Daphnia pulex: one gene and its partners. The protein of the gene in region 3 interacts with the protein of the main gene of each other region in a biochemical or structural test. Links are inferred from orthologs where the notes say so. Each region holds a gene or a part of one and is shown on either strand. Other genes may lie near its edges. The genes, in order: ubiquitin-conjugating enzyme E2 S-like, 26S proteasome non-ATPase regulatory subunit 14, polyubiquitin, protein UBASH3A homolog, E3 ubiquitin-protein ligase RAD18-like, peroxiredoxin-4-like and E3 ubiquitin-protein ligase AMFR-like.

Evidence for each region.
Region 1: of the proteins of polyubiquitin (region 3) and ubiquitin-conjugating enzyme E2 S-like, one has a biochemical effect on the other in vitro, tested with the Homo sapiens proteins (10 studies listed by BioGRID, with this or other methods). The link is inferred for Daphnia pulex from reciprocal best matches to the Homo sapiens genes UBC and UBE2S.
Region 2: the proteins of polyubiquitin (region 3) and 26S proteasome non-ATPase regulatory subunit 14 form a complex in vitro, tested with the Homo sapiens proteins (4 studies listed by BioGRID). The link is inferred for Daphnia pulex from reciprocal best matches to the Homo sapiens genes UBC and PSMD14.
Region 4: the proteins of polyubiquitin (region 3) and protein UBASH3A homolog form a complex in vitro, tested with the Homo sapiens proteins (6 studies listed by BioGRID, with this or other methods). The link is inferred for Daphnia pulex from reciprocal best matches to the Homo sapiens genes UBC and UBASH3B.
Region 5: the proteins of polyubiquitin (region 3) and E3 ubiquitin-protein ligase RAD18-like form a complex in vitro, tested with the Homo sapiens proteins (7 studies listed by BioGRID, with this or other methods). The link is inferred for Daphnia pulex from reciprocal best matches to the Homo sapiens genes UBC and RAD18.
Region 6: the proteins of polyubiquitin (region 3) and peroxiredoxin-4-like form a complex in vitro, tested with the Homo sapiens proteins (2 studies listed by BioGRID). The link is inferred for Daphnia pulex from reciprocal best matches to the Homo sapiens genes UBC and PRDX4.
Region 7: the proteins of polyubiquitin (region 3) and E3 ubiquitin-protein ligase AMFR-like form a complex in vitro, tested with the Homo sapiens proteins (10 studies listed by BioGRID, with this or other methods). The link is inferred for Daphnia pulex from reciprocal best matches to the Homo sapiens genes UBC and AMFR.

Annotation. Positions count from the first base shown.
Region 1 is NC_060023.1:8,632,004-8,635,070, forward strand, and holds ubiquitin-conjugating enzyme E2 S-like, read right to left. Parts: upstream 1,874-3,067; 5' UTR 1,712-1,873; coding exon 1,703-1,711; intron 1,625-1,702; coding exon 1,480-1,624; intron 1,410-1,479; coding exon 1,219-1,409; intron 1,161-1,218; coding exon 1,017-1,160; intron 956-1,016; coding exon 809-955; 3' UTR 501-808; downstream 1-500. Other genes in the region: uncharacterized protein LOC124197881, read right to left, coding at 1-27, 132-203; ADP-ribosylation factor-like protein 6-interacting protein 1, read left to right, coding at 2,180-2,209, 2,275-2,408, 2,471-2,604, 2,667-2,770, 2,847-2,931, 2,999-3,067. UniProt on the Homo sapiens protein: Accepts ubiquitin from the E1 complex and catalyzes its covalent attachment to other proteins. Catalyzes 'Lys-11'-linked polyubiquitination.
Region 2 is NC_060022.1:5,168,487-5,171,681, reverse strand, and holds 26S proteasome non-ATPase regulatory subunit 14, read right to left. Parts: upstream 1,995-3,195; 5' UTR 1,824-1,994; coding exon 1,731-1,823; intron 1,652-1,730; coding exon 1,502-1,651; intron 1,443-1,501; coding exon 1,226-1,442; intron 1,166-1,225; coding exon 1,053-1,165; intron 989-1,052; coding exon 788-988; intron 724-787; coding exon 562-723; 3' UTR 501-561; downstream 1-500. Other genes in the region: ATPase inhibitor mai-2, mitochondrial-like, read left to right, coding at 2,252-2,310, 2,386-2,494, 2,557-2,697.
Region 3 is NC_060024.1:13,920,028-13,924,170, reverse strand, and holds the start of polyubiquitin, read right to left. Parts: upstream 2,801-4,143; 5' UTR 2,493-2,800; intron 2,069-2,492; 5' UTR 2,063-2,068; coding exon 1,732-2,062; intron 1,551-1,731; coding exon 1,323-1,550; intron 1,160-1,322; coding exon 932-1,159; intron 778-931; coding exon 550-777; intron 382-549; coding exon 154-381; intron 1-153.
Region 4 is NC_060024.1:13,149,973-13,154,235, forward strand, and holds the start of protein UBASH3A homolog, read left to right. Parts: upstream 1-1,463; 5' UTR 1,464-1,596; intron 1,597-1,656; 5' UTR 1,657-1,807; coding exon 1,808-1,914; intron 1,915-1,977; coding exon 1,978-2,218; intron 2,219-2,281; coding exon 2,282-2,474; intron 2,475-2,550; coding exon 2,551-2,862; intron 2,863-2,925; coding exon 2,926-2,995; intron 2,996-3,062; coding exon 3,063-3,427; intron 3,428-3,495; coding exon 3,496-3,969; intron 3,970-4,049; coding exon 4,050-4,263. Other genes in the region: RNA-binding protein 1-like, read right to left, coding at 533-584, 661-885, 947-1,158. UniProt on the Homo sapiens protein: Interferes with CBL-mediated down-regulation and degradation of receptor-type tyrosine kinases. Promotes accumulation of activated target receptors, such as T-cell receptors and EGFR, on the cell surface.
Region 5 is NC_060025.1:2,016,716-2,020,460, forward strand, and holds E3 ubiquitin-protein ligase RAD18-like, read right to left. Parts: upstream 2,436-3,745; coding exon 2,288-2,435; intron 2,214-2,287; coding exon 736-2,213; 3' UTR 501-735; downstream 1-500. Other genes in the region: alcohol dehydrogenase class-3-like, read right to left, coding at 2,708-2,732, 2,802-2,940, 3,005-3,140, 3,198-3,328, 3,396-3,444. UniProt on the Homo sapiens protein: E3 ubiquitin-protein ligase involved in postreplication repair of UV-damaged DNA. Postreplication repair functions in gap-filling of a daughter strand on replication of damaged DNA.
Region 6 is NC_060020.1:8,201,549-8,205,356, reverse strand, and holds peroxiredoxin-4-like, read left to right. Parts: upstream 1-1,431; 5' UTR 1,432-1,722; intron 1,723-1,817; 5' UTR 1,818-1,855; coding exon 1,856-2,030; intron 2,031-2,235; coding exon 2,236-2,270; intron 2,271-2,340; coding exon 2,341-2,434; intron 2,435-2,514; coding exon 2,515-2,582; intron 2,583-2,640; coding exon 2,641-2,767; intron 2,768-2,834; coding exon 2,835-2,926; intron 2,927-3,000; coding exon 3,001-3,108; intron 3,109-3,167; coding exon 3,168-3,227; 3' UTR 3,228-3,308; downstream 3,309-3,808. Other genes in the region: protein angel homolog 2-like, read left to right, coding at 1-22; probable RNA-binding protein EIF1AD, read right to left, coding at 3,578-3,764. UniProt on the Homo sapiens protein: Thiol-specific peroxidase that catalyzes the reduction of hydrogen peroxide and organic hydroperoxides to water and alcohols, respectively.
Region 7 is NC_060017.1:3,098,094-3,102,048, forward strand, and holds E3 ubiquitin-protein ligase AMFR-like, read right to left. Parts: upstream 2,801-3,955; 5' UTR 2,528-2,800; coding exon 2,258-2,527; intron 2,183-2,257; coding exon 1,925-2,182; intron 1,849-1,924; coding exon 1,602-1,848; intron 1,531-1,601; coding exon 1,457-1,530; intron 1,388-1,456; coding exon 1,244-1,387; intron 1,150-1,243; coding exon 1,026-1,149; intron 971-1,025; coding exon 753-970; intron 686-752; coding exon 347-685; 3' UTR 319-346; downstream 1-318. UniProt on the Homo sapiens protein: E3 ubiquitin-protein ligase that mediates the polyubiquitination of lysine and cysteine residues on target proteins, such as CD3D, CYP3A4, CFTR, INSIG1, SOAT2/ACAT2 and APOB for proteasomal degradation.

The DNA of each region.
Region 1 (3,067 bases), on a different chromosome or scaffold from region 3:
CTTGACGCGAACTGCTGTTGAATTTTTCTGAAAAATGTTAAATGGGAAAGTCACAATTTGAGTGGAGGTTTTTGAACTTGGATCAATGACCTTCTACGAACCAAACAGCAATCGGCCGTTTCAAATGTTACCTCGATTAACTCGGTGTCGTCTTCGCAAACAGTCCATGTCACGAACAAAATTAAAATGATTAAAAGTCGCATAGTGGGAACGTAGAGACTGGTTCAAACTGTACACAACCGAAGGTGCAGGTCAAATGAGGTTGTGAGTGAGGTTGGTGTGGTCCTGCTAAAGGTGGTGCAAGGTCGTTACTCCCAAGATAATTGCACTCGCCAAATTACCTTCCGAGTGAGTAACCTGGGGTTAAGGGATTTATAATAGATTCAGGGAAACGAACCATTAAAGTGCGATTCCAAGAAAATCTTAAACGTTCACAGCAAATCAATAATTAAATGTAACCTGTGATAACTTACTAAAGGTAAAAATATGAGTTGAATGGGTTATCAGCAAATTTTTTTATATTTCCTTCGACCTCACACGACTGAAAAATCAGCATAAAATTAAGAGAAAGAAAAGGAAACTGAATCAACACTCTCCTCCCTTCCGCGAGTGTAAAAACTAGACATGGATAGATTTGCTCGTTAAATAACGCGCACTGCATAGAAGTGCGGGAACGAAACAATTCAAATGGTATGGGAGATGGAGAATTATGGAGTTTATCGCTGAGAAAGACTACGGATATTTTCAAACCGTTGCTAGATGTGAAGCAAGAAGAAACAGAGAAAAAGGCATTTATGTACAGTGACGCTCATAATCTCTTCAATGTTCTCTTTTTGTCCTTGGCCACTGGCTTTTTCTTATCCGCCAAAACTGTGCGATCAGTAGCAGCTTTTTTCGATGCTGTAGGGCCTTCCGTTGGGTTGTTGTCTTCATTCAAGTGGGCATCCGCGTTCGACTTCAATCAAGGAATGAAAATGAAATAAATACAGTAAGTTGGTAAATTTGGTTTTGTTTACCTGATTTTGACTAACTTTGGCATGAATTTCAGTCATCATTTTTGCTCTTTGAAAGTAATCTTCATAATGCTCTAATAAGAGCTTGCCAGCCTCTTCATTCAAAGCCGACTCTGCATTGGGGACAATTAGCAAACATTTGATAGTCTAAAAAAGAGATTTTAGGTTAGTTGTGAAATAGAATTGAACTCTTAAATAGTCGCACCAGAAATATATGTTTGATACCCAGATCAGGCTTCCAATCTTTCTTCAAGGTGTTGACACAAATTTCGCCTTGTTGCGAGACATTGGGATGAAATATTTTGGTTAAAAAGAAACCTTTCGGAGGACCAGAGGGGAAATCTTTTCCTAGCACTAATTTTACTCTAAAATGTCCACTAGCATATGGGGTACCAGCTGATTGTGGGGGAAATGATTTAAAATGATTTAATTTTAGGCTTTATTTTTAAATGAGAATTACTCTTACCAGGTCCATCAATAATGGCTTGAATATCAGATATGTCTTCTTCATTGAGAATAACTTTGATGCCTTCAGGTGGATCACTAATAAGCTGTTGAAGTTCCTTGCAAATTTGGCGACTAACTTGAGGTGCCAAGTTTTCAAACGAAACCTAGATTAAACGGTTCAAAATGGGCGCAACTTTAAAGTCTAAAATTGCAAGCTGTAACTCAATTTTCTAAAAACTTACTGAAGCCATGAGGGTTAAAAACAAAAGAGCAGAAAAGTGATATGTTCACGAAACAGAAAACGGAAGAGTAAATTTGAAAAGAATTTTGATACGACCGTTAGAACGGTTAGAATTTGGACAATATCAGGAAATTTTGGCCTCAGAGTTCAGAGACAACAAGAATACAAGATGCACACCGTTGCCGAAATGGGTACCAATTTAAAAAAAACGTATTCGAAAAATTTATTTATTTTTTTTATGATTTTAAAATAAAAACATTTTCTTTCGACATGAATTGGTTTTTATTCGTGAAAAATCTGCGTTGAATTTCAAGTAATTTGCAACTCGCGAGTTTCACATTCTATTTTCAAGGTCCTTGTCAACGTTGCGTGTGAGTCACGAACCTTTCTCACATGCCATAATATTTATTCTATTTTTTTATACGTGCCGTCTCGGGCTCTTGGTTTCTTAAAACTGTCTAATATAATAGGTTTCAAAATGCCTGATATCCTTCTTGTATCCGACCAGGTGACTATTTTCGTTTGTTTGCAGCACACTAAACCCATTGTTTATGTTTTTCTGCCCAATTTCAGGAAAAGAGGATAAAATCTCTAAAACGGCGTATTGAAACCTGGCGTGTTTTTCTCGTTGCCTTGTATTCTGTCCTCATATGGACTGAATCCTGGTACCCTGCACCTATTGTTGGAACCATTAGCACTGTATTTCTGTAGGTTCTATATTTTTAAAAATTTTTCCTGTGACATGATAAAGTTTCTGTTCGTTTATTAGGATGTACTGGTATTGGAATCCTCCAATCATCACCTCCGTATCTCTATTTTTTCTGATACTCAGTTTGATTGATTACAGTGTTCCTAGAATATGTAGCTGTATATCACAACCTCATCAATGGACAGCATTGAATGGTATACATTCTTCATCTCATTTTCTTACTTGATCAAAAGGTAACTTGATCATTTCTCCATAGAGAAAAAGTTTGAGATAATCTGTGAAACTCTGGTGAAAACTCAAGATAAAATTTACAACCAGATGACATATTTTATTGATCTCAAAAGGACAAATCCTAAAATGGTGATTTCTTTAATTGATACAGTGCATAGATTTTGATATTTTTAAATGTAACCTGTTGTTATGTTTTATCTTCCAGTATTTCTTGTCACTCTTTTCATTCTGCAGTCTTTCAGCTTGGATTGGTTATACAGTCAACAATTGGCTCATTTGTTTTATTCTTGGTATGTAATATTATTAATTAAAACTATTTAGTATTCTGAATTGTAATCAGCATTTTGATTGTTATAGTCACACTCATCTCATTGTATCCTGGCGTCAAACACAACGAAGTACTATCAAAATTTCTGTCGATATTCC
Region 2 (3,195 bases), on a different chromosome or scaffold from region 3:
GCTCATGCCCTATGCACTAATAGCCCAGAACAGCACGAGAAGCAGGCCATTAAACACGTAGCACAAACAACTCGAGTTTATTTTAAAATGCTCAGTGGGTGGCGCGTTGTTAATCTTGAGCAACCACGCCATTTCATTCACCACACATTCTGCTTTTCCTTCCTAAATCCGCGTAGAGTTATTTCAGGTCTAGGTTTTATTTTGCTCCTTTCATTCCGGGTGATCGATATAATCTGTATCACAAAGATCTACTAGTCCCTTTTACCCTTCTTGCGCTGTTCCAAGTTGAGTGCATTAAAAAGGGATCAGAAAACGGGGGGCTTTTTCGATGGCAGCTTTTGAAGCTGTATTGCAAGCGAATCCGAATGAAAACACCAAGTAGGACGTGTTTGGACGATTCTTTTTTTGAAAGGTTTGAATGCGGGGGGTTACCACTTATGACATCGACCCATTTTCTCTATCCTGTACGTGGTTGGTTGGTCTACTCGCATGTAAAATAATGATTTTTGAGAATTATTGTATTCATCGGATAGATATGAGAGGTGCGTCAGCTGAAGTAAATCATCGGAAAGCCACAGTAGAAAGCATAGCTCCCAGACACTGGACAATATTAGAAGTCATCAGTACATCCACTTCCTCCTCTAGATGACGCTTAGGATCTTGACGGCCAACGTTCTTTACTGCGAGTTGTTCGGGTGTCATCTTTTCTTCTTCCTCCAAAGCCTGTCCAACACACATCATTTTAACATCTGATTACGAACAAAGGCCGGTATGTTTCAGAATTTACCTTGTTATAAGTTTTGGCTAATTCGAGCATGCTGCGAACACTCTGCTCGTTGCTTTTGCAGTGTTGCTCGTATTCGGCTAGCGATAGTCCCTCGGTCCATGATTTCTTGTGCAAGTTCCACAACATTTTTTGTTCGAGTTCATTCTTTCGATAGTTGATGCTGATTGAATAGTAGTGGCGATTAAGTCCATGAATCAAGGCCTGGAGAAAAAACCATTAAAAAGTCTTGCAGAATTTAATGTTTTGTAAAATCTAACAAACACACCTGAATTGATGGTTTCTGTAAATGTCCAAGATTTGATGTTGTCTGGCGAGGTTCTTGTCCCAATACCATCATGTTTGGATTTATCAACCTGAATGCATCAATGACAACTTTGCCTGTAAATAAAAAACTATTTATTACAACTGCAAAAAAAAAAATGAATAAATCTGTAATACCTTTGACACTTTGAATAGGGTCAACAACAACAGCGACAGCACGTTCAGACAAGGCCTCAAAGCTCTGCTGTGTGTTGATATCTACACCAGATAACCAACAACCAAATCCAGGATGGGAATGGTACCAGCCAACAACCATTTCAGGGCGGCCAGTTTGCCTGAGCATGTCCAACATTTTAGCTTGAAAAACTGGATCCACAGCTTCAACACTGACACCCTACATAAAGTTTGTTAAGTTACTGTGAGCAAAATTGATAAATGATAATGGTTTCATACTGTTCCTGACTGAGGCATAGCAAATACATCAATCACTCTGACTGTGTAATCGTCAACAAATTCTCCAAGCATAAGTCCCATGACTTCCATTGGAACTCCAGCTCGTCCATGTTTAAGCATTTTCAACAGTGCCAAAGAAGAAATATAAACCTGTTACAACAAAAATGTGAAAACAATTATAATAGGTATAGTAAGTAATTTATTGTAAATGCAAACGAATCTGTCATACCTGTTCGGCTGTGTCGACAACCGGTGCATCAGTTGGCGGAGCAGATTGTCCGAGGCCAGACATCGGGCCACCGAGCCGTAATAGACGATCCATTATCTCTTTAAATTATTAGTTCAAACTTTTTTTCGAATGAAGAAAAAGGAAACTGCTTTGTAGTAGAACGGCCGGTAAAAACAATGAATCCTTCCGTCACAGAATAGTCAATTCACGCTCCGCGCAACGTTTTTCGACGGGTTTATGCTGGTTAGCAACATTGCCCAACAATGAATGAAAAATGTTTCATTATCAGTTTCTATCAAACCCAGTTTTTAATTATCAATATAGATCTTCCATTAAAGAGAATACATTATTGTAAGAAATTTTATTCTTCAGATGTATCTTTTAATTATTATAAAAATTTTATTTGGTCGATTGCGACGTTTGTAGAAATCCAAACGATCGTTTGTCTGACGTCGTTACGAATTCTCTTTGTAAATCAGTTGTTTGACTTGTGAATCACCGAGTCTACTCATCAAAACAAAATGGCTTTGACTCGATCTGTTGCAGCGCTCAAGCTTTCTCGTAATATACCCATTATGAGGTGAGTAGTTAATATTTTAATGAGCATTCTACCTTTGTGACGTGAATTAATTGTCATTTGTTTTGCCTTTTCTAGTCGTTTAGCTTATTACAGCCAAGATGGTGGAGCTGGTGCCATTCGAGAAGCTGGTGGAACTTTCGGAAAGAAGGAAGCCGCTGATGAGGAACGATACTTCCGTAAAATGGTAGAAATATCTTTTTTTACAATTTATGTATAGCTTGTATTGATTTTTTATATGGATGGTAGCAAACTGAACAGCTGAAAACACTTAAAACTCACCTTGATGAGGAGATAACATTTCATCAGCAACGCATGAAGGAACATCAGGATGCAATTGACATTCATCAAAAGAGAATCACAGAGTTGGAGCAGAAAAAGAAAGCCTAATTGTTTGATATGCCTGAGTGTGGTGCAAGGATATCAAAATTCTGGAAGGATGTGTAGCCTTAATGTATATCCTAAAATACAATTCTAGTTTATGGTTGAGCTATTTATTTCCCTGAAAGATGTTGATACTGTAGAAGGAAGTATACAGCCTATGCCCTAAAATATTACTCAACAGGTTAATTTACTTAGGGGACATAATGCCATACACAAAACAGACTTCAAATGAATTTCAACATATAAAAGAACCTTTGTTACATGCTGTGGCAAAAAAAGTATAAATTCAATGGAACATCGTTCGACTGCGAATTATTCGAGGCCATTAATTTTTTGCATTTCTAAAGGAATAATTTTGGGAGCAGCTCTTGTATTGTCTTTCGGGAAATGTATTCAAGATGGCACGCACGACAGTTTTTGATGTAGGTATTCACTTAATTTTGTCTTTTTGTATTGCATCTCTCACCTGACCAACACACTTAACTTGACACTTCACAGCCGAGT
Region 3 (4,143 bases):
GATTATATATTTGCGTTGCCGAGTTTTTGCCGAATACTCCATGATGTGCATCAGTACACGTTGGAAAAAATGTAATCAGGGTACATATTGTAGAGCTAATAAATTGTCATCATTATAGTAAGCAAACAAGGAAAATCCCTCCAATAATGTTACCTTCTTTGTCTTGGATTTTAGCCTTGACGTTCTCAATCGTGTCGGAAGGTTCAACTTCAAGGGTGATGGTCTTTCCAGTGAGAGTCTTGACGAAGATCTGCATACCTCCTCTCAAACGCAAGACCAAGTGAAGGGTAGACTCCTTCTGGATGTTGTAATCTGACAAGGTACGACCATCTTCCAGCTGTTTACCGGCAAAGATGAGACGCTGCTGATCGGGTGGGATACCTGAGTAGAAGAATGGATTAGATTTTTTACGCCATAGAAAGTTGTTTAAGTTCTAGAATTTATATCAGTACACGTTGGAAAATAGGTAATCAGGGTACATATTAAAGAGCTAATAAAGTGTCATCATAATCGATGGAATAAAAAATAAAGACTGCCCCAAATTATTACCTTCTTTGTCTTGAATTTTGGCCTTAACGTTCTCAATTGTATCCGATGGCTCCACTTCAAGGGTGATGGTCTTTCCTGTAAGAGTCTTCACGAAAATCTGCATACCTCCTCTCAAACGCAAGACCAAGTGAAGGGTAGACTCCTTCTGGATGTTGTAATCTGACAAGGTACGTCCATCTTCCAACTGCTTACCAGCGAAGATCAGACGTTGCTGGTCTGGGGGAATACCTACAGAAAAAGCAATAACATTGAAATTTCTACCTAAACATTCTGCCATTTACCACGATACCACATCAGATTTAATTGTAATCATGTTGTTGATATTAGCGTATATAAAATTATCATCATTGCAGAACAACCGAACTTTCAAAAACTAACGTACCTTCTTTGTCTTGAATTTTAGCCTTGACATTTTCAATTGTGTCAGAAGGCTCAACTTCAAGAGTGATGGTCTTGCCAGTCAAAGTCTTGACGAAAATCTGCATACCACCACGGAGACGAAGAACCAAGTGAAGAGTCGACTCCTTTTGGATGTTGTAATCAGACAAAGTACGGCCATCTTCGAGCTGCTTTCCAGCGAAAATTAGACGTTGCTGATCGGGGGGAATACCTGTAGACAATTCAAATCGTTAATATTATCTAGTAGATTAATGCTACCAAAATCATTTAACATTTAAATTTCAGATTATTTAGTAATCAGGGTCCATATTTAGGTGTCCTAAGAGTGTCATCAGCAACTACAATAAATTTCTCTTCTTATTTTTTTCCATTACCTTCTTTGTCTTGAATCTTGGCTTTAACGTTCTCGATAGTGTCAGAAGGTTCAACTTCGAGAGTGATGGTCTTTCCAGTAAGAGTTTTAACGAAAATCTGCATGCCTCCGCGTAAACGTAACACCAAATGTAATGTTGACTCCTTCTGAATGTTGTAGTCGGACAGAGTACGACCATCCTCCAATTGTTTGCCGGCGAAGATGAGACGTTGCTGATCGGGTGGGATGCCTGAACAAAGAAACATTTTGTAATTTCAATCAGACAACTATGGAAATTAAAATGTATTGAATACTTCAGGTTATTGCGATATAATTGTAATCATGAAGAAATTTAGACACTCTAAATGTCATTGTAATCCTAATACTCATCAGGTTAATTTAGTAACAGTAGGCAAAGGTTTGATAGTTACCTTCTTTATCCTGGATCTTTGCTTTGACATTCTCGATGGTATCAGAAGGTTCAACTTCCAGAGTAATGGTCTTTCCAGTTAGTGTTTTGACAAAGATTTGCATTCCTCCTCTCAGACGGAGGACCAAGTGCAGGGTAGATTCCTTCTGGATGTTATAATCAGACAGGGTACGACCATCTTCCAGCTGCTTGCCAGCAAAGATCAAACGCTGCTGATCTGGTGGAATGCCCTCCTTATCTTGAATCTTGGCCTTAACATTCTCGATAGTATCAGAAGGCTCAACCTCAAGGGTGATGGTCTTGCCAGTCAATGTCTTGACAAAGATCTGCATCTTTTTCTGAAGAAACGAAAATTAAACTTACTTTAGTATCATATACAAAACCAGTTTATCAGAAGTTTCATCATAACCAATCGTCATCATTACGTCACGTCGAACAAAGGAAAGTTACGCCCATGCATAAATTTTATTACTAGCCAATTATTTTTAAAGAAGTTGCAATCAAAACTAATGTAATACAAAATGTTTCTAGTAAATTTCAATAACTGTCTCATCTTACACCATGAAATATTTTCCAACCAGTTGTTACTAAGAGAAAAGAGATGAAACGAGGAAAGAAAATGGCGGACACAATCGAACAAAGGGACAACTTGCCACGGCGTAAATTTTTCGTTTCCCCCAAAAAATCTTAGTTAATTTAACTAGTTACACACAAGAACAATGGATATCTATTCAGGACAAAGAAATCAAAGGTTTAACTTACTAAATTTGATCAATCAGATGATAAAGTTGAATTAAAATATGTGTTCGACGAAGCAACTGCTAAGACGTTCTGCTCGAGTTGGGTGCTGGACGCGAATTGATTTTTAAAATGGCTGACGTCGACTTATATAGACGCGACAGAAGCGCCTGGGGAGGTTCGTACCAAGTCCCCTGCGGCTTTCCCTAGCTTTTTCTAGAAGGATTATTTCGTATTTTCGTTTGTCGTTAGATAACGTAACGATGAAACGTCACCTTCTCAAACGTGACTACAACGACAGAGAAACAATATGTGACGTAGAATATTCCGTGATTATGAAATTTGAGCTAATTCTGGAAGTTTCCACATTTTTATCTAAGTGACGTTAATTTTGTACGGATTTGCCTCAGCCTTGAAATAATCGCGGATATCCTTTATTCCTTTATTTCTCATACTTTCTATTTCTTTTCCACCAAACTTTTTGGGTCCAATATTTTCATTTCAAGTAGGTTGCGAACCTTTACGAGATAATATTTACACGTGGCAGAATTTTGAAAGTAGAAACACGTATGAGGTTGCTGGCAAAACTTGTATACAAATAGAAAGTGACGAAGAAAAAAACAACTAATAAGGAGAAATTTCTTAATTAGACCGAACAAGATAAAAACCGTTATGTATTTACGCTTCCATGACTCTGAATAAAACTATAATTCATTGCAAATAAATTCCAATTCAGCGTCGTTTTACATAGGTCTTTATTCAACCTTGAGTTTAAGGGGATTATAATGTGATGATGTTCGCAAAAATGCGCAGCGGAAATGAGTGCTGGTGTCGACGTGTCCCACGTGTTTAATTTGAAGGACTTTGGGCAAGGCTTCTTTCTGCGTGTATAGGACTAATCTGCCTCAGGTTTGTTGGACTTTTCCTGTTGGTGCTTCCTTTGATGACGCAGTAAATCAATGCCGGTCAGCTCCACAGTGGTGCGACAATCAGGACAGAAATAACCCGTTTTCGACTCGGAAGCTTCTGCTGGTTCACCCTGACCTAAATAATAACCCAACAAAACGGAAAATTGTAAACTGGATAGAGGGCAGCAAACAGATTGTTAAAAAACATTTCATACCTCCTTCCATCAACTCTTTTGTCTTCTGGCACTGGACCTGGTGCCTCAATCGCCCTAGACCCGTCAGGTAGAAATTGAGTTCGCATATAGGACAAGCCCATGGTGTGCTGAGATAATCTTGGGTGAAATCGGGTTCTTCCAAACTAGAAAATCGGAAATTTTCTTATAATAATTTTTGAGTTGTTATTTACAATGATAAAATTTCATACCATCCGTAAACAAGAAAGTCGGCCATTTGCAGCCCACCTTTCCTTGGATGGGCGACTGCTTGGAATTCTGGCCAGAACGGGTTAATCTCATTTGGCATTTCTTCATTTGGAGTTTCAGATTCTAGAGCATGGCCCCGGTAAATAACCTTCAAATCAGCTGCTAAAAGTCGTTTAATGGTGTACAAAATTTGAGTTTGCGTGAAGGCAATCAGGTCGTAGTGCAAATCTCTCTGCATTCGTTTCATTTTCTGTTCCAGTTTCTGGACGTCTTTCTCCTTTAGTGGACGATTAGGATCCAGTCGCAGCATAAGGAGGTCGTTCCAGCGGTAACGCAACTGGCACG
Region 4 (4,263 bases), about 770 kb from region 3:
CAAAAGATGTGATGGATGTTGAATTCACTGGGCGGTTTATCAGTCGGTAGTAGAGTCCCGACGAAAATCAATAGTGGGTTGCGCCCGACATCTTCGATTTTGTTCGTCTCCATTCACATCAAATTCAAGATTTTTCGGATGCGTGTTGAAATGGAAAGGCGATGTGAGGTTGATGATGATTTATAGAAGGGGGGAAATCCTCAAGTGTGTATTGCGCATGTGGAATGAGCACGATTTTTAAGCCCGCAACTCTTTCACACAACAAAATGCGCCCATGTGATACAAGTCCGTTTGTTTTGCAATTTAAAAAAAATGATGAAAAGCCCAGGATTGCAGCTGACGCCACTGCTGGTCACACACAAAAAAATGGATGCCAAATAGGAGGGGAATCATAGTAGGGGAGGAGGTGAATGACGGTTTTTTTTCACAGCGACAAGGAGAAAAGAGAAAAAGTGGAGGAGCTTCTGCTTTGAAAATTATTATCTGCACAACAGGTAAGTGTGTGTGTGTGTATGTGATAGACCGGAATCAATTAATCGGCATACTTGCTGTAGCTGGGGGAACGTGAACGACTGCGTGAGTCCCTGCAATAACAAAAAGAAAAGTTTGTTTTGATGGCTTTTGCAACAGGAAGAAAATGTCAGTAGTTAAGGATCTTACCTGCGAACTCGGTCGCGAGAGACTGATCGAGAGGCTTTCCTGTCGCGGAAACGATCACGACTGCGTGAACGTGATCGTCTGGGTGAGTATCCACCACCTCTCCTTGCTGGAGGCCCACCACCTCCTCTGCGGTCTCCACCACGTCCACCACGGTCTCCACCAAAGCCATTACTTCTCCTCTTGCCTGTAGACATTTCCACCTTCACTCTGGCACCACATAAACGCCTGTGAAACACAATAGCATAAATAACAGATTGTTTGTTGTCAATAATCAACTGCAACTCACACTCCATCAAGGGCACGAACTGCATCCTCTGCATCTCTCGGGTCTTCAAATTCAACAAAGGCAAAGCCAGGGGGATTTCTTGCTACCCAGACATTTCTCAGTGTGCCGTACTTGCTGAAGGCTTCTTCGATCTCGCCTCTGGCCGCGTTAGAGCCTAGATTGCCAACATAGACTTTACAACGCGGATCCCAGTCTTGATGGCGGGACGACATGGCAGGTGCTTTGATGGCAAACGACGATAGAACGAGCAGTTGTAACCGTTGAGTTTGAGTTGAATAAAACGGAGCTTAGTCACGATATCAAAATTTGTGTATCAATAAACTGTATTACCTGGTATATTACGAGTATAAATGGGCGAAACAATATTTAGTTTGACTGTCAAAAGCAAAGAAACGCGGCCTGAGTCCAAGAGGAGGGGAGACGCGTCTAGCCGGTTGTTTCCAATTACTCGATGTAGACAACCACATATTCAATTCGCATTTGTCTTTTTCTTGTTGCCAGTTTTCAATAAAAACATACGCCGCAAATTTGAACGAAAGAGATTTGGCAATCACGAACGCATTTTATTTGGTAAAAAAAAATAACAAAAATGCAGAAAAGATAAGTGTCATTTCATTTTGTTAATGAAAATTCGTTCGAGTCATGAAAAGGTTTGAAGATGTTTACAAATTTTTATTCGATCTTAATTTAATTGCTCTTCTTCATTACAGTCCACTGGCCATGTTATCTTCAACACCATTCCACTATATTTAGAGACATTATCGGGATATTAAAATCGAATTTCGGTATTATTAGGGATTCTTATCTCATCGCTGCTCATATGCGTCACCGTGCAAACTAAAAGTATTCGTCTTGAGAGACATGGCTGAACTACCACCCAGAAAGAATGCAACTCCGACAAAATTGACAAAGCTGTTGATCTCACCTCTGCAGGTTCTCCTGCAGATGGGTTTTCCAAAACACAGAGCGTAAGTCACCCTGTAGCTCATAATACTCGGCACAACATGTAATTCTGTTTGTTGCTTTTACAGGGAAAAAGCCCTCGCTGCAACTGGATACAGAAATGTTCAGTTAGCATCAGACTGGTTGCTGGCCCATGTGAACGACCCCACCTTAGATGACCAACAGCCTAGAGAGTATCTTCTTTACCTGTGTCCGGCTGGCTATCTGCAAAGTCAATTGCAGGAATTTTGGGCCAGATCAGTTCGAGAGTGTGGCAGAAACGGTGCTCATGAGTTCCTACCCCATGTCACTCTAGTTCCCCCTTTCAAGGTTTATCAACAATATATATATCTACTGAAACTGGCATCATTGTAACTGAGTGATTGATGTTAGGTACCTGACAGCAGTGTCCCCAGCATTGTGAGCCTCCTGGAGAGGATTACAGAGCATGAGAGCCACCCCATTCCTGAATTAAGACTAGAGACCTACATTTCACAAAACTTTATGGGCTTCTTCCTCAATCAAGACTCTGCTGAAGTCATCAAAGTCATGGCTTCTCGGTTTGCTAGGGAACTAGCGCAAATCAGTATACATTTACGAGATTATTATTTTATGGCTCCAGAACGTTTCATTAGCTTTGATTCTTATTGCGTGTTTTACAGACGTTGCAGCGGAAGCCCACACACAAGCCCTTCACCTGACGTTGGCATACAATTTTCCATCTGGTCAATTCAGCACACTGGAATATCTTGTTAGAGCTCTGAATCCCAACAATGGCTATTCTCATTGGCAACTACGACTTTACTCGAGAGATATCCGCCTTTCAGGGAAGAAAGTCTACAAGGTCGTCTTCCCGCACGTTCCCCGTGAAACGGACGAACTGGAATTGCTCCTGGGCGATTTTGTTTACGTCGATCCTGAAGCCTGTAATAATTCCATCGACGGGTGGATCGAAGGCATCTCCTGGCTTACTGGTAAATAAGTTCTTAAAAACTATTATTCTCTTGAATTCGATTTAGAAACTGCGGCTTCTTCAGGTTGTTCGGGTTTTCTGCCAAAGAATTATGTCGAGAAAACTGCCGAATCGGACGCCTGGACCCTGCACAAGTACCGCCCATATAATTAGATAGTTCATAATCGAATTTGCTTGTTAACATCAAACTGCTGTTAACAGGAGTGTGGAGTTGAATCCATCCGCTGACGACTTGGACGAAATCGACGGAATTTCAGCATCAAGCGATCAAGCCCGGAGATTGTTGAGTCAAGTGTCGCCGGAATTGGGTTCTAACAGCGGCAAAAGTTCACCCACCGTTCGCCAGGAAATTAGTCCACCAAGAGGGGTGGCCGTTCGACCAACAGAGCTTTCAAAATGTACGGAAAACTACGTCAATTCCGATTTAGATATGGCCGGATTGTCTCCTGTGGTTGAACGGCCTCTAGCCTTCAAACAGGGTCCTCGACGGTTGTTTATAGTCCGCCACGGAGAAAGGGTCGATTTTACATTTGGCACCTGGATTCCTTACTGCTTCGATGAATCAGGTATGTCGGATTATTCAAATTAATAGAAAATTTGAATTTTAAAATTATTCGTTCATCTTGCATTACAGGTAAATACGTCCGTAAGGATCTGAACATGCCTCTGAGCGTTCCCAAACGTCAGGGATCGCCCGAGTCTTTCTTCAAGGATTGCCCGTTGACTATCCTGGGAGAAACGCAAGCTGGACTTTTAGGCCAAGCTTTACGCTCTGCTGGCGAATCCAACAAGATCCAGCACGTCTACTGCTCTCCTTCGCTTCGCTCGCTGCAAACGTGCCAGAACATTCTGAAAGGCCTGGAGATTGAGCAGTCGATCCCGATTAGTTTGGAGCCGGGATTGTTCGAGTGGCTGGCCTGGTATCAGGACTCGATGCCGCAGTTTCTCACACCTTCGGAGATGCTGGACGCCGGCTTCCGTCTCCGCGAGCAGCACCAGTACTTTATCGACTTTAGCGAGCTTTGCGACCGGCGTGAGTCAGCTGAACAGTATTACATGCGCTCGCATTACGTCACCCAGTGCGCCCTCCGCTGCACTGAGCACATCGGTAACATTCAAATTGGATTTTCAAAAGAGTCTTGATCCATCCCTCTCATTTGAGACTTAATTATCTTTTAATCGAAAAAGGTGGAGACGTTCTCCTGATCGGACATGCCTCGACGCTGGATGCCTGTTCCAGACAGCTGGTGGGTGGATTACCGCGATCGGCTCAGGAGTTATCGAGAATCGTCCACCGGATCCCTTACTGCAGTTTGGCCGCCGTCCAGCAGCAGCAGCAGCAACAGTGTCCAGAAGAGCCGGCCGATGATTCAGCCGAGGAAATTGGTAGTAAGCCCCGTTG
Region 5 (3,745 bases), on a different chromosome or scaffold from region 3:
ATTTCTTCTACACGATTAGTATTCATGACAGGCATACAATCCGATTATCTCTGACGACCCACAAAAAGCCCTCACCTGTTCACCTCTGGCGATACGTGAGGTTTCTCTTTTTATCCTTCTAGAGATTATTCTGCCTTGCGCAAAACTGCCCTGACATCCAATGTTTGACAGAAATCAAAAGATCAATCATCGATAGATTGAGTGCATCAGTAGATTTGGATAGCCGAGGAAGTACGTCATCAGACTTTGCACTTCTACTTGAGTCAGAACTAGATTGACAGACTGGGTCAATATCCGGTCCTTGATCTACTACTCTTTTCCTACTTAAAAATCACGTACCTATTCCTAAGCAGGCATCCTGCTTGTGTAATCATAGATCAATCAATTCATAATTAATGGAAAACGTGATTCATCTCAATTAGGGAATTAGATGCATGGATCATTCCGTGACTGAAGGACTTTCACTTTAATAAGATACTCAGTTAAATCTGGAATGAATACTCAGGACATTTCTGGGGTTTTATTTATCATTCAACAATTAGGATGCCAGTTTCTTTTACATTTTCAATTTTTCGTCGCTTTCATTTGAAATTTGTAAGCAATTTATTCTCGATCGGAAACATAAAATTTAGAACCAAAATGACTGGCATGCAAGAATAGCAGGGCAAACCATTTTTGCACAAACAAAAAGAAATTATTAGAAAAAATATTTACACAATAATGCCACAACTATCTTCAAAATCTTCTTCTTAATGACAGTTTGCGGTCGGACATGTTCAGCGAAGGAGACTTTGACCTTTTCTTTGACATTTTCAGTACGGTGGGCAACATAGCGCTCAAGCTACTGCTAGATTCTTCTTCAAATAAAAATTCGGTAGGTGACTCAACTGGACTGTAGGTCGTTGGCGAAGTGGAATTGCTGCTACTTGAATCACTTGTCGACAAAGTGATAGTTTGAGCACCAACGGACAAAGAATTGCTATCCTTAGAACTCCCAGATTCCAATGGATCGGGAATGGAATCATCGGAAGTTGATTGTCTAGAGACGTCACTATCAGACGTACCAGCAGCTGAAACCGGACGTGAACTAATCGAAGGTGGTTCATCACTTTCACTACTGTCCGATAAACAGATCATTTCGTAAACCTTTGGTGGGACATAGATCTCCGTCACTTCTTCTTCGCTTTCATTTTCTACTTTCGGAGGCTCGTTCTTGATTTTGAAAGCTGGAGGTTCCTCAGGCAACGGTAGAGTAATAGGTGGTGGCGGCAAAGGTGGACGCTGCCGAATTTCGTTGATTAAACGATCGTAACTCTCTTTGTTACTGCGTAAATACTGAAGATTTTCCTCCTCGATTTTTTCTATATCATTTGTTTTCACTTTAGCGGAAGCAAGACGTAGTTCAGTAGCCAATCGATGGTTTTCGGCTTCTTCTCGTACATGTATTTCTATCAGTTCTTCGACCGGTCTGGGCTCCAAAGCATCGCACTCAGAATTGTAGAGAATGGTAAACTTCTTGTGTCGATTGATCAGAGTAGCTTTGTCACCAACATTGCTGAGTCCCAATGTTCTAAGCCTTTTCTTCAGCTCTTGTTCCTTCATTAGATGATATATCAGCTTTGGCATGGGCTTCCTCTTGGCAGGTTTGTTTGAGTTCAAACATGAATCCAGATGAATGTTGATAATAGTCTCCCTTATCAAGTTATGACACACAGGACAAAGAACTTCTTTCACATCATTAGAAGATTGACTTGGAGGTTTCTGATGAGCACTAGGTCTTGATGCTCTTACAGGTTGGCTGCATGATGCTATTGGAGGTTGATGAGTATCTACGACAGGAACACTTGATGATGCCAAAAAGACAGAAATGTAGCTGTTCAGACTTTTTCCATCAGCTGCTGTGAAAGAAGATGATGAAATATTCTCTTTATGAACATTCTGACCAGGCAATATTTCACTTTCTGCTTGTTTGTGAATTATGGCTGAGGAATGAGAAGATAAACTGTCTCTTGAAGTTTCTGTTGAAAAACCTTCTTGTTGTTGATCTCTGGTGTTCACTAGAGTATTCAAAACATAATTCTTTACTGGCTGAAAGCATTTGATGATTTCTTCAAGGCAACGGTTTGGGCGCAGCAACCCATCAGAAATGTCAACAAAACATATTGGACAGCTGTTCTTGAGACTTATGTTTTTCCTGATGCATAACGAACAAACTGTAAATTTTAAAAAAAAGCACACATGAAGCCTTAGTATTAATATGTAAATATAAAACTAATAAAGGTATTACAATTGTGTGAGCAAGCAGTTGATATCACAGGATTTTTCATATAGTTGTAGCATATTGGACAGTGTAGACGGTCATCTATATTTTTTAACTGAGGCAACTCTCTCGGCCAAGTAACTGGAATGTCATCTGAGTTAAACAAATCTCCCATTTCAATGCAGTATTGTACTATTGTTTCACAATTTTACATGATCAAAGCCACAGCCCGCGCCATCACAAAATCTTTTCAAGTCTCATGTTAACAGCAACGTTGCCATTTTTATTTCCGGTACAACTTTTTTTGTTTTGAATTTGAAATCAAAATATGTTTTTATAATTTATAATTTCAGATGATAGGATTCTCCACGGTATGCAATTATATTTCGTATCAATGGAATAAGATGAAAATTAGATTTTAATACTGTGTTGCGACGTTCAATTGTTTCAGAAAGTGACCATGCTTCTCAAACTGAAAATAAAAAACATATGCAGGTATATATTTTTTTCTGATTAAAAAAATTTTTTAAGCATTTGTTACCATTCTCCTTTTTCAATTAGTTCCACAGCTTCATTTATGTTTTCAATTGGCATGGTGTGGCTTATAAATTCATCCACCATCAATTCCTTGGCTAAATATTCATCCACTAACTTTGGGATTTGGTCACGGCTCTTCCACCCTGACATATGATGGCCTTATTGTATGATCCATGGTATTAAAATTTTTATTTAAATATTTTAAACCTCCAAAATAGGTCCCTTTAATGGTTCTTCCATAGATTAGTTGTATAGGATTGTACGAGACTTCTGCTGTCAAATCAGCTACTCCCACAATAGTTAATACACTCAAACCTTCTTTACAGGCATTCATTGCTGCTTTCTGAAATGCAAAAAAATCTATTAAAGTCATTAGCTAACAAATTTTAATTTGTACTACCATGCAACTGGGGATGCCACAACACTCAAAAGCGTAGTCTAATCCTCCTGTTGTCATATCCATAATTACTTCCTCTATAGGTATTTTGTAGTCATCTGGGTTGATGAAATCAGTGATTCCAAATTTCTTGCCTGTAATAATCATTATTCAATCCAAGTTTTAAAAATACTTACCAGCATTAGATAAATGAATTCAAACCAATATTTTCTTTAGATGGATTAATATCAATGACCAATGACCACGACATGTAAAGCGAGTCGTACCGTCATTCATTAATCCAGCAAGCTATATATAAATAGAAATGTAAATTTCGTTTCGTTTTATCAACTGTAGGATTAGTGGATTACTTGGAATGTGCCGTTAACATTACAAATGTTGGTCTCGCTAGACTTGCAAAATTCACAATTGTAACACTGAGCTGTATAAACCGGGATTACGTGATCGCCTAATTGTAATCGATGGTTCTTTTAATTTTATTATATCGTTTCCATTTAAATAGATGAAATAACCTGGTTCAACGGAAGTAACGTTAGGTCCAACGCTTTCCA
Region 6 (3,808 bases), on a different chromosome or scaffold from region 3:
CTGGAAGTATAAAGGACTTTAAATAAGAGTTACCAAAATGTCATTTGTATATATTATCCTGGAAATTTAATGTCAGAACACGACGGGTTGAAAACTCTTTGAAACTTTAGTCACTTCTCACTGAAAGTAATATCCTGATAGTCTGTTAATATACAGTACATTACATGTATTATGGTCTGTAAAGAAATTCTGAAATAACAAAATTCTTTTCCATATATAACTGCACTCTGTAGTTTGTTTATGTCTTTTTTTTCATAAAAATTTGTTTGAGCATCTTTTGTGGTTAAATCTATCAAATAGACACTTGGATCATTTATTTGTCGGAAATTTGTTTCTAAAGGATTAGTACAACTTAAAAAAAAAATAACTTTACATTATGATTTATTAAAATATAAACGAAGAAGAAAAAAAAACTTTTTCGAAGTTATTTGTGCTTTTACGAATTGCTTAAAGATGGAATATATTAAGTAACATATTGCTACTGGAAGGCGATTTTAACGACGATTTTTTGCTGAGCTTGGCAGCTTGATAAACATTGCAACCCGGAGTGGCAGAAATTTGAATTTGAAAACAAGTTATCAGTAGGGTGCAGCTCACGCCAATGCCAACTCGAAAGATAAACCATTGATCAACAGTAAACAGAATCAAGAATCAATTTGAAATATAATCTAGAACCGGCGGATGTTTTTTTTTACGTTCGAGACACTTCGCAAAAATAATCTGCATTTTTCAACCAATGAACAAAATAAAAATCGTCGAACCTTCTCGGGTCAATAATGAGTTGACGTAGGCTACCGTACGTCTGCACGAGGATGTCGACTATTCAACTATTAGGTCCAATAGGGCTCTTCGGGATCTGTTTTATTTAGCCGATTTATCTGGCAACGCAGCATGGTTCGAGACTTTTTTGAGGGAAGAACGGGGAGAAGAGGGAGAATGGGACGAATGGGGGAGAAGAGGAAACGTGGGTCCCCTTTTTTTTCGTACGCCCTCCTCCCTCCCACTCGTCCCATTCTCCCTCTTCTCCCCGTTCTTCCCTCAAAAAAGTCTCGAACCATGCTGCGTTGCCAGATAAATCGGCTAAATAAAACAGATCCCGAAGAGCCCCATACTAAATATAATCAAGGTAAGTTCTGAGTTTAGGGCTTTCGGGAGAGACACTTAATTCACGTTTGCTTACTTGAAGATTGTATTAGGCTAGTTCGCTACAATAGTGGTGTAATTTATGACACACAAAGGAAATATTTGTCTAATAACTTGTCCGAAATATCTTGCAGCTACTACAATAAATCCAAATCTAGTAATAAGAATCAAAATTTAAATAACTTAATGTATTTAGAAATAATTCTCAACTGATATTTTTCTCAAAAATTTTCGTGGGTAAAAATATATGCTTTATACTCGGGTAAACAGATGGCACTGTAACAGTGTTCACAAAATTGGGTTGAACGCCGCGGCCCGAAATATTTACTGCGTCATTCATGTTTGGTGTACACAGAACACAGTTTTGAAAGTGGCAGCGGTGGCAGGCAGCAGGGCAGAGTTGATTCTGCTACATTGTTGGTTTGCTACTGCCCTACTGTGGGCACTGGAATCTGGATATCAGTGCATGGGTGCATCAGTCAGACACTTGACAGTCTCTTTGAACACAGGTCATTGATTCGTATCAATATCACGTCAGTGAGTGATCACAGAAGGGATCAAACTGTATACTGCGAAAATGTAATTATTTAACTACATTATCAAACAATAAAATCAATGATTTTTATTGTTGTATTGATTGTCCATATGTATTTAATGGGTATTTTTTATGCTAGAGTGTTTTAAAACAGGTGGCTGTAGCGATAGCAAAAGAATGACGACGGACTCGAGAACGAAGTCGTACTATTACGTGGCACGATTAGCAATCTTCTTGTTCATAGCAAGTGCGGTAAATGGAGATGTCTGTCAGACTTATGCTGGGGGTGCTGTCTATCCAAGAGAAACAGGAAAAAGCAGTGGCCATTCGTTGCAATGGACAAAAGCCATGAGTATACTTTTATTACATTTGTGAATAATAAAATATATGATATTTAAAATCAGCATTATTTCTAAAATACAGTTTTTAATTGATCGTTCAGAATTTTTCTACATATTTATTGACATTTAGGAAAATTAATTGGTTATCAAACATTGAATTAAAAATATATGAACTGCAAACAATTTTAATGATCATTATTTCCTTTCTTATTTTAGTTTCAAAGCAAGCTCCTCTATGGGAGGGTACAGCGGTAAATACCTTTTGTATTTTCTTTGTATGCATTCTTTCATTATTTATTTTTTTTTTAATTTCCTGTTTAGGTGGTTAATGGCTCATTTAAGGACCTTAAATTGACTGATTACAAAGGCAAATACTTGGTCTTCTTCTTCTATCCCCTGGACTTTACTTTTGTCTGTAAGCTGTTTTATTATTCTTTCTAATCTTTCTGTAAAACAACAAACAAAAAACATTATTTTATATGAATGTCTTTGCAGGTCCCACAGAAATTTTGGCATTCAATGATAGAATTCAAGAATTTCGCGCGCTTAACACTGAACTTGTGGTAAAAAGTACATTTCATTTAAAAATTGAACTCAGCAGCTAATCCAGTTATTTCATAGGCTTGTTCAGTGGACTCACATTTCACTCACTTGGCTTGGGTTAACACTCCTCGAAAGGAAGGTGGACTCGGTCCTCTAAACATTCCGTTGCTCTCAGATTTATCACACAAGATTTCCACTGACTATGGTAGCTTTTTTCACAGTACTTAACCTTATAAATTTGCACCTACTTTATAATTTTTATATATTAATAGGTGTCTATTTGGAAGATGTTGGACATACACTTAGAGGTTTATTCATTATCGATGATAAGCAAGTTTTGAGGCAAATCACAATGAATGACTTGGTAATTTTAATGTGTAGAAATAGGATTTTCCAGTTTAGGATTTGTAATAATAAGCAATATGTGTTTCTACTCAGCCTGTAGGTAGGTCTGTTGATGAAACCTTGAGGCTTGTTCAAGCCTTTCAATATACCGATAATCACGGAGAAGTTTGTCCTGCTGGATGGAAACCCGGAGCCGACACGGTAAGGGATGACATAAGTAAAACGCAAAATAATTAATGCTATGAAATTTTCCTCATCAGATTATTCCCCATCCGATCGAGAAAAAACTATACTTCGAGAAACAAAAGGATGAAATTTGAATTATTAATTCACAAAAAAGATTCAATTTTGAATTGATTGTTGGTTATTGGGTTCAAGTTAAATAAATTGGATCAACAATATTTTAAATTGTTTGAAATTGAGTTTTAAATAATACAAATTGAATCTACTGACGCCAGGATAGACTGATGAGAGTAATAAAGGAAACCTGTTCAAAAAGTCTAGTTATTTTTCTAACTCTTACTCCTCCTCACACATCATTAGAATTGTATTTTTTGTCCAGAAACACATGGCCAAATAATTCCATATAACAAGTCATGAGTGCCCAGTGGTACAGAGTTTTGTAGCAAGTTATAACAAGGGAAAGCATATTAAAACATTTAGTTTATTTTTAATCGTCATCTTTGTTGGCACCAGAATCAGATACTTCATTTTCACTACTGTCTGTTGATTCATATACACACTGAGGTCTGTTTGTATTTACAAACAAATCATCACTTCCTGAAGAACTATCATCATCATCAGAACTAATGTCTGCACAAACTTCTGTTGAAGCTAATGGGACAAATTCCTTGGGCCTAAAGTTACATTTGAGATTTAAATGCTTCAGCAAATAAACATG
Region 7 (3,955 bases), on a different chromosome or scaffold from region 3:
ATGTCACACATTTCCGATTTCGTCCTCTACATGTTTGGTAATCAAATGTTACTATTGATTGCGCATTCACTTCGTCGGTAGTGAATCAGTAAAATCACGTTTGTAGGCCCTGTTTGACAGTGAACGTCTGTGTGATGGGACTAGCTTGCGGCATAGAGAGGGTTTTCTTCCACGCCCAGTCGAGCGAAGCGGTATTTCGTAATTATTAAAAAGGCACTATCTTTCTACTCATAATTTACCTTGCCAATATACAAACAGGTTTTTTGAATTATGAGATGCACTAATGCATAATTTACGCACTTTAGGATCAATAACAAATTAGAATCACACGTGTATAGCAAGAAAATCAACTTTCAATGATAGTGGAATTGTTTTCGAGTGCTTGTCTCTGAAGAAAGCGATTTCGAGCTTCCGCGATTAATTCATGCTTACGACATTGAAGAATGTGTTGTCTTTCTTGCGGATCATCAACAAAGAGCTTCTCTGGTTCCTGGGAAACATCAAATTGGTTTTCTTGCCTGGCGAATGTTGGCAACGTAGATAGACTAGGCTCTTGTTGAAAGCTGGGAAGTGTGGGCAGAAGACGACCCTCTAATATATTCTCAACTGTTAAGTCTACTGAGCGAGTTTGCCGTAGATCTTCAACGATAACAGAAAACGAATAATCGGGAAACAATTGAAGTACCTACAACGATAAACATTTAAATTGTTGAACAAGAATTAGTAGAATTTTATGATAGATTTCGTCACACCTGATCAGCTAAAGCTTCCAATTGAGAGTTTTCTGCAGCTGCTACTACCGGAGTATCAGTGTTTTGTTGAAACAGTCGACTCCAGCCCGTCCACGATATAAAACTTGCAGTTTCCCGGGGACGTGAAGACGAAGCAGTTTCTTTCGATCCATCTTCTAAAAGTTGGCGTCGACACGTAGGGCACGTAGGATCCTGTTCCAACCAGTGCAACAGACAACCTATACAAGTATAGATAGATGAAGGATTGCCTCATTAATTGTTATGAATCAATACCATGATGAAAATGATGACCACACGGCAACCGTCTGGCTACAGCTGCTGCTTCCCAGCAAATGGCACATTTGTTATCCTCCCATTCAGATTCGAGTTCGAAATGGAGTGTTTCCAAGGGACAGCACTATTATAACAGAATAAATTACTAAATGATTAAAACTAGAGACTTGGCAGAAGAAGGGGAGATTAAGATATTTTAGATCGACTCGAGTACAAACCAATTCCACCAATTTCAGCAACCGTTTGTAGTTCCCGTGTCGCCGGAGACGTCCACACAGCTGTTCGTAGAGCACTCGCAGTTGCATGAAAATGACCAAAGATGCCATAGAGAGCAGCATATTCGCTCGCAGAAGCATGTGAATCTAAACGAAAAGAGACAAAAAAGGGGTTACCGAAATTCAGTCGCATTGCAGAAAGCAATTTCGTCTCACATGATGTGCCAAATCCACAACGAGGCATGAAATCTCCACCGCCAATTCCACGTAGTACGACGAAGGACTCCACCCTATGATCCAACAATCGTCAGATGTTTGAGCACATCGAGAGTCTCTGTTGCGAATGCGCAACTCAAGTAACCTTGAGAGATCTGATGGATGGGCGGATGACAAGACTGCAGGTAGAGGATGTATCTAAAGATAACGTGGGTGGTACGTAAAGCCAAGAGAAGACATTCCGGGGCGACCAAGGCAAATGTAATCCATCCAGCGCGTTGTCCAACGGCGAGGCAAATCAAAAATAATAATCCCGATGCCACCAGAATCGATCCCAGCAGGGTAAGCAAGCGGATGTGTCGATTTCGAGGGGTACATGGAGTCATAGATAACTATAATTTCGCCAAACATAAGATAAATTACAATACCTGTTTGAGCTTTTAAAAAAGAAAGATAAAATCCAATTACATATTCAAATCTGTCTTGGCAAAGTTGAGCATGAATGTGTAGAAAGCCAATAACAGAAAACCAGGACCCCCATAATATAACACCTTCCATACTTTGAACATTTTTAATGCCAAATATAAAAATAAATTTGTAAAACACAAAATTCCAAAACTTGTCTTTGATGTGCTGTAGTTCAGAAACTCTTAGTTCCCCAAACACCTGCTTCTGCAGCCAATTTCCAAATAATACAAGGAGGCAGTAAGCCATGTTCACAACAATCTGTAAAGGATAGAAGATAAAAAAGGATTAAAGTGTTGGATATTGACTAATAATATAGGATGGCCATGTTCTAACCCAAATGCAGAGACTGTCATGGATAGAAAATGACACAATATCTTGAGCTCTGGAGCTGAGCCAGTAACGAGACAGGATGTTTGAAATAAATGCTTGCAAGGAGTTGGGAATCTCTTGGCTGCTATTCGTTTTAACAAATTGCATCCTCCATTCAGGGTTTTGTGTTTTTTCTGCAGCGTAGTGAAGAGACAAACCCAAAAGAGAAACACTGACTACCGCGTAAGCTTCCAAACTCGGGAGAGGTAGTCTCTCAAGTAGTAAGACAGGCATGTTGTTGTTGTTGACACAGAAAAATTGGGTTCACAAGACGACAAAACTACTAACAAATCTGGGGTGAAAATTGCATTTGAAAACATCAGCAGAAATAACTAGGATTAGCTAGCACAGCAATTCAAGGCAATTTCATCTTGATAACACTGCGTTATCTAACGACCATTTCGATAACAAGTGCCTTGTCAAATGATTCAATAATCCGAAAATGTGTCAAAACTCTGATAAGGCGGGTAAGGCTAAACAGCATCTAGTACACGTAAACACTGCAAACGGAATGAAAAAAAATTACTGACGTTTTGGGCGTCAACCTCAAAAAGTTCCAGCAAACTATTTTCTAGCAAGGTCAAAAATATGCAAAAATTACAAGGCAGATTTCGTCTCGCTATCCCCAGGGGAAAAAATGTATTCAATGTCAACTTTGCATACATGTTCTCAAATGTAGATGTAGACTGAATTGCGCTCTCGGAGACTCGGACAGTCAAGCTAATAAATATTCAATTATTCATTACGCATGTGATGCTGGGACTGGGCTGAATCTGTTTTTAGATCGACGAATACTGGTTTGTTATTAAAAATGAAAAAGATACGTCACAAGTCTGAGTAGATTTTATTGTTTTTACTCAGAAACAACTTCAATAAGATCCCTTAATAATTTTCTGAGATATATTCGCTAAATATTCCGCAACATTCTCCCGCACCAAAAATGCTCAGTTTTATGGCACTGCCCTAAGACACGCATAAGAGTACTCAATTACGCTAATCTAAATTGCACTCCCGAATCAACCTTGAAAAGAAAATGTATTCACTATTATTATTTCTGCTTTGATGGCAACGCGTGATGGAAGACAGAAAAAAGGGAGAAACATCAGAAATAAAACGTTGTCTAGCTGCATGTCTAGCCGATTTTATCGTCTTGTTGGGCGGTTATGAAAAAAGTAGCGTGTCATTTCGTACCAGATGGGGACCGGAAGAAGGTGTCCTTGCACACACACGGCACTGTTATAACGCCTGATTTGCGTCCTCAACATTCGTTACAATAGGGCGTCAGCTCTGCAAAGTAACTGAACCGTTAAATTCTGTAAATGTTCACATTCGAGACAATTTGAATCCACTACATACCAAAGTCTTATCGCGTACCTCCTGATGGTCACGACAGGTCAAGGTTTCCATTTGAAATTTGCGCCCTGTTTCGCTTTTATCCGATGTAGTGGTAATCCTTCAATATAAATAAATGAAGCAACAATAACTTTGCGAAAACAAGGGATGGCTAAGTAATTGAAGTGACTTTTGAAGTTCATTTCATTTTCTCTTTCTCTGCACTTTAAAGAGAATCTTTTTTTTTTTTTCATTTTGGCTCTATTCCAATTTCTTATACTGTAGCGTTTTACAACACGCATTTCACAAGCAGTTAACATTTATGTTTAT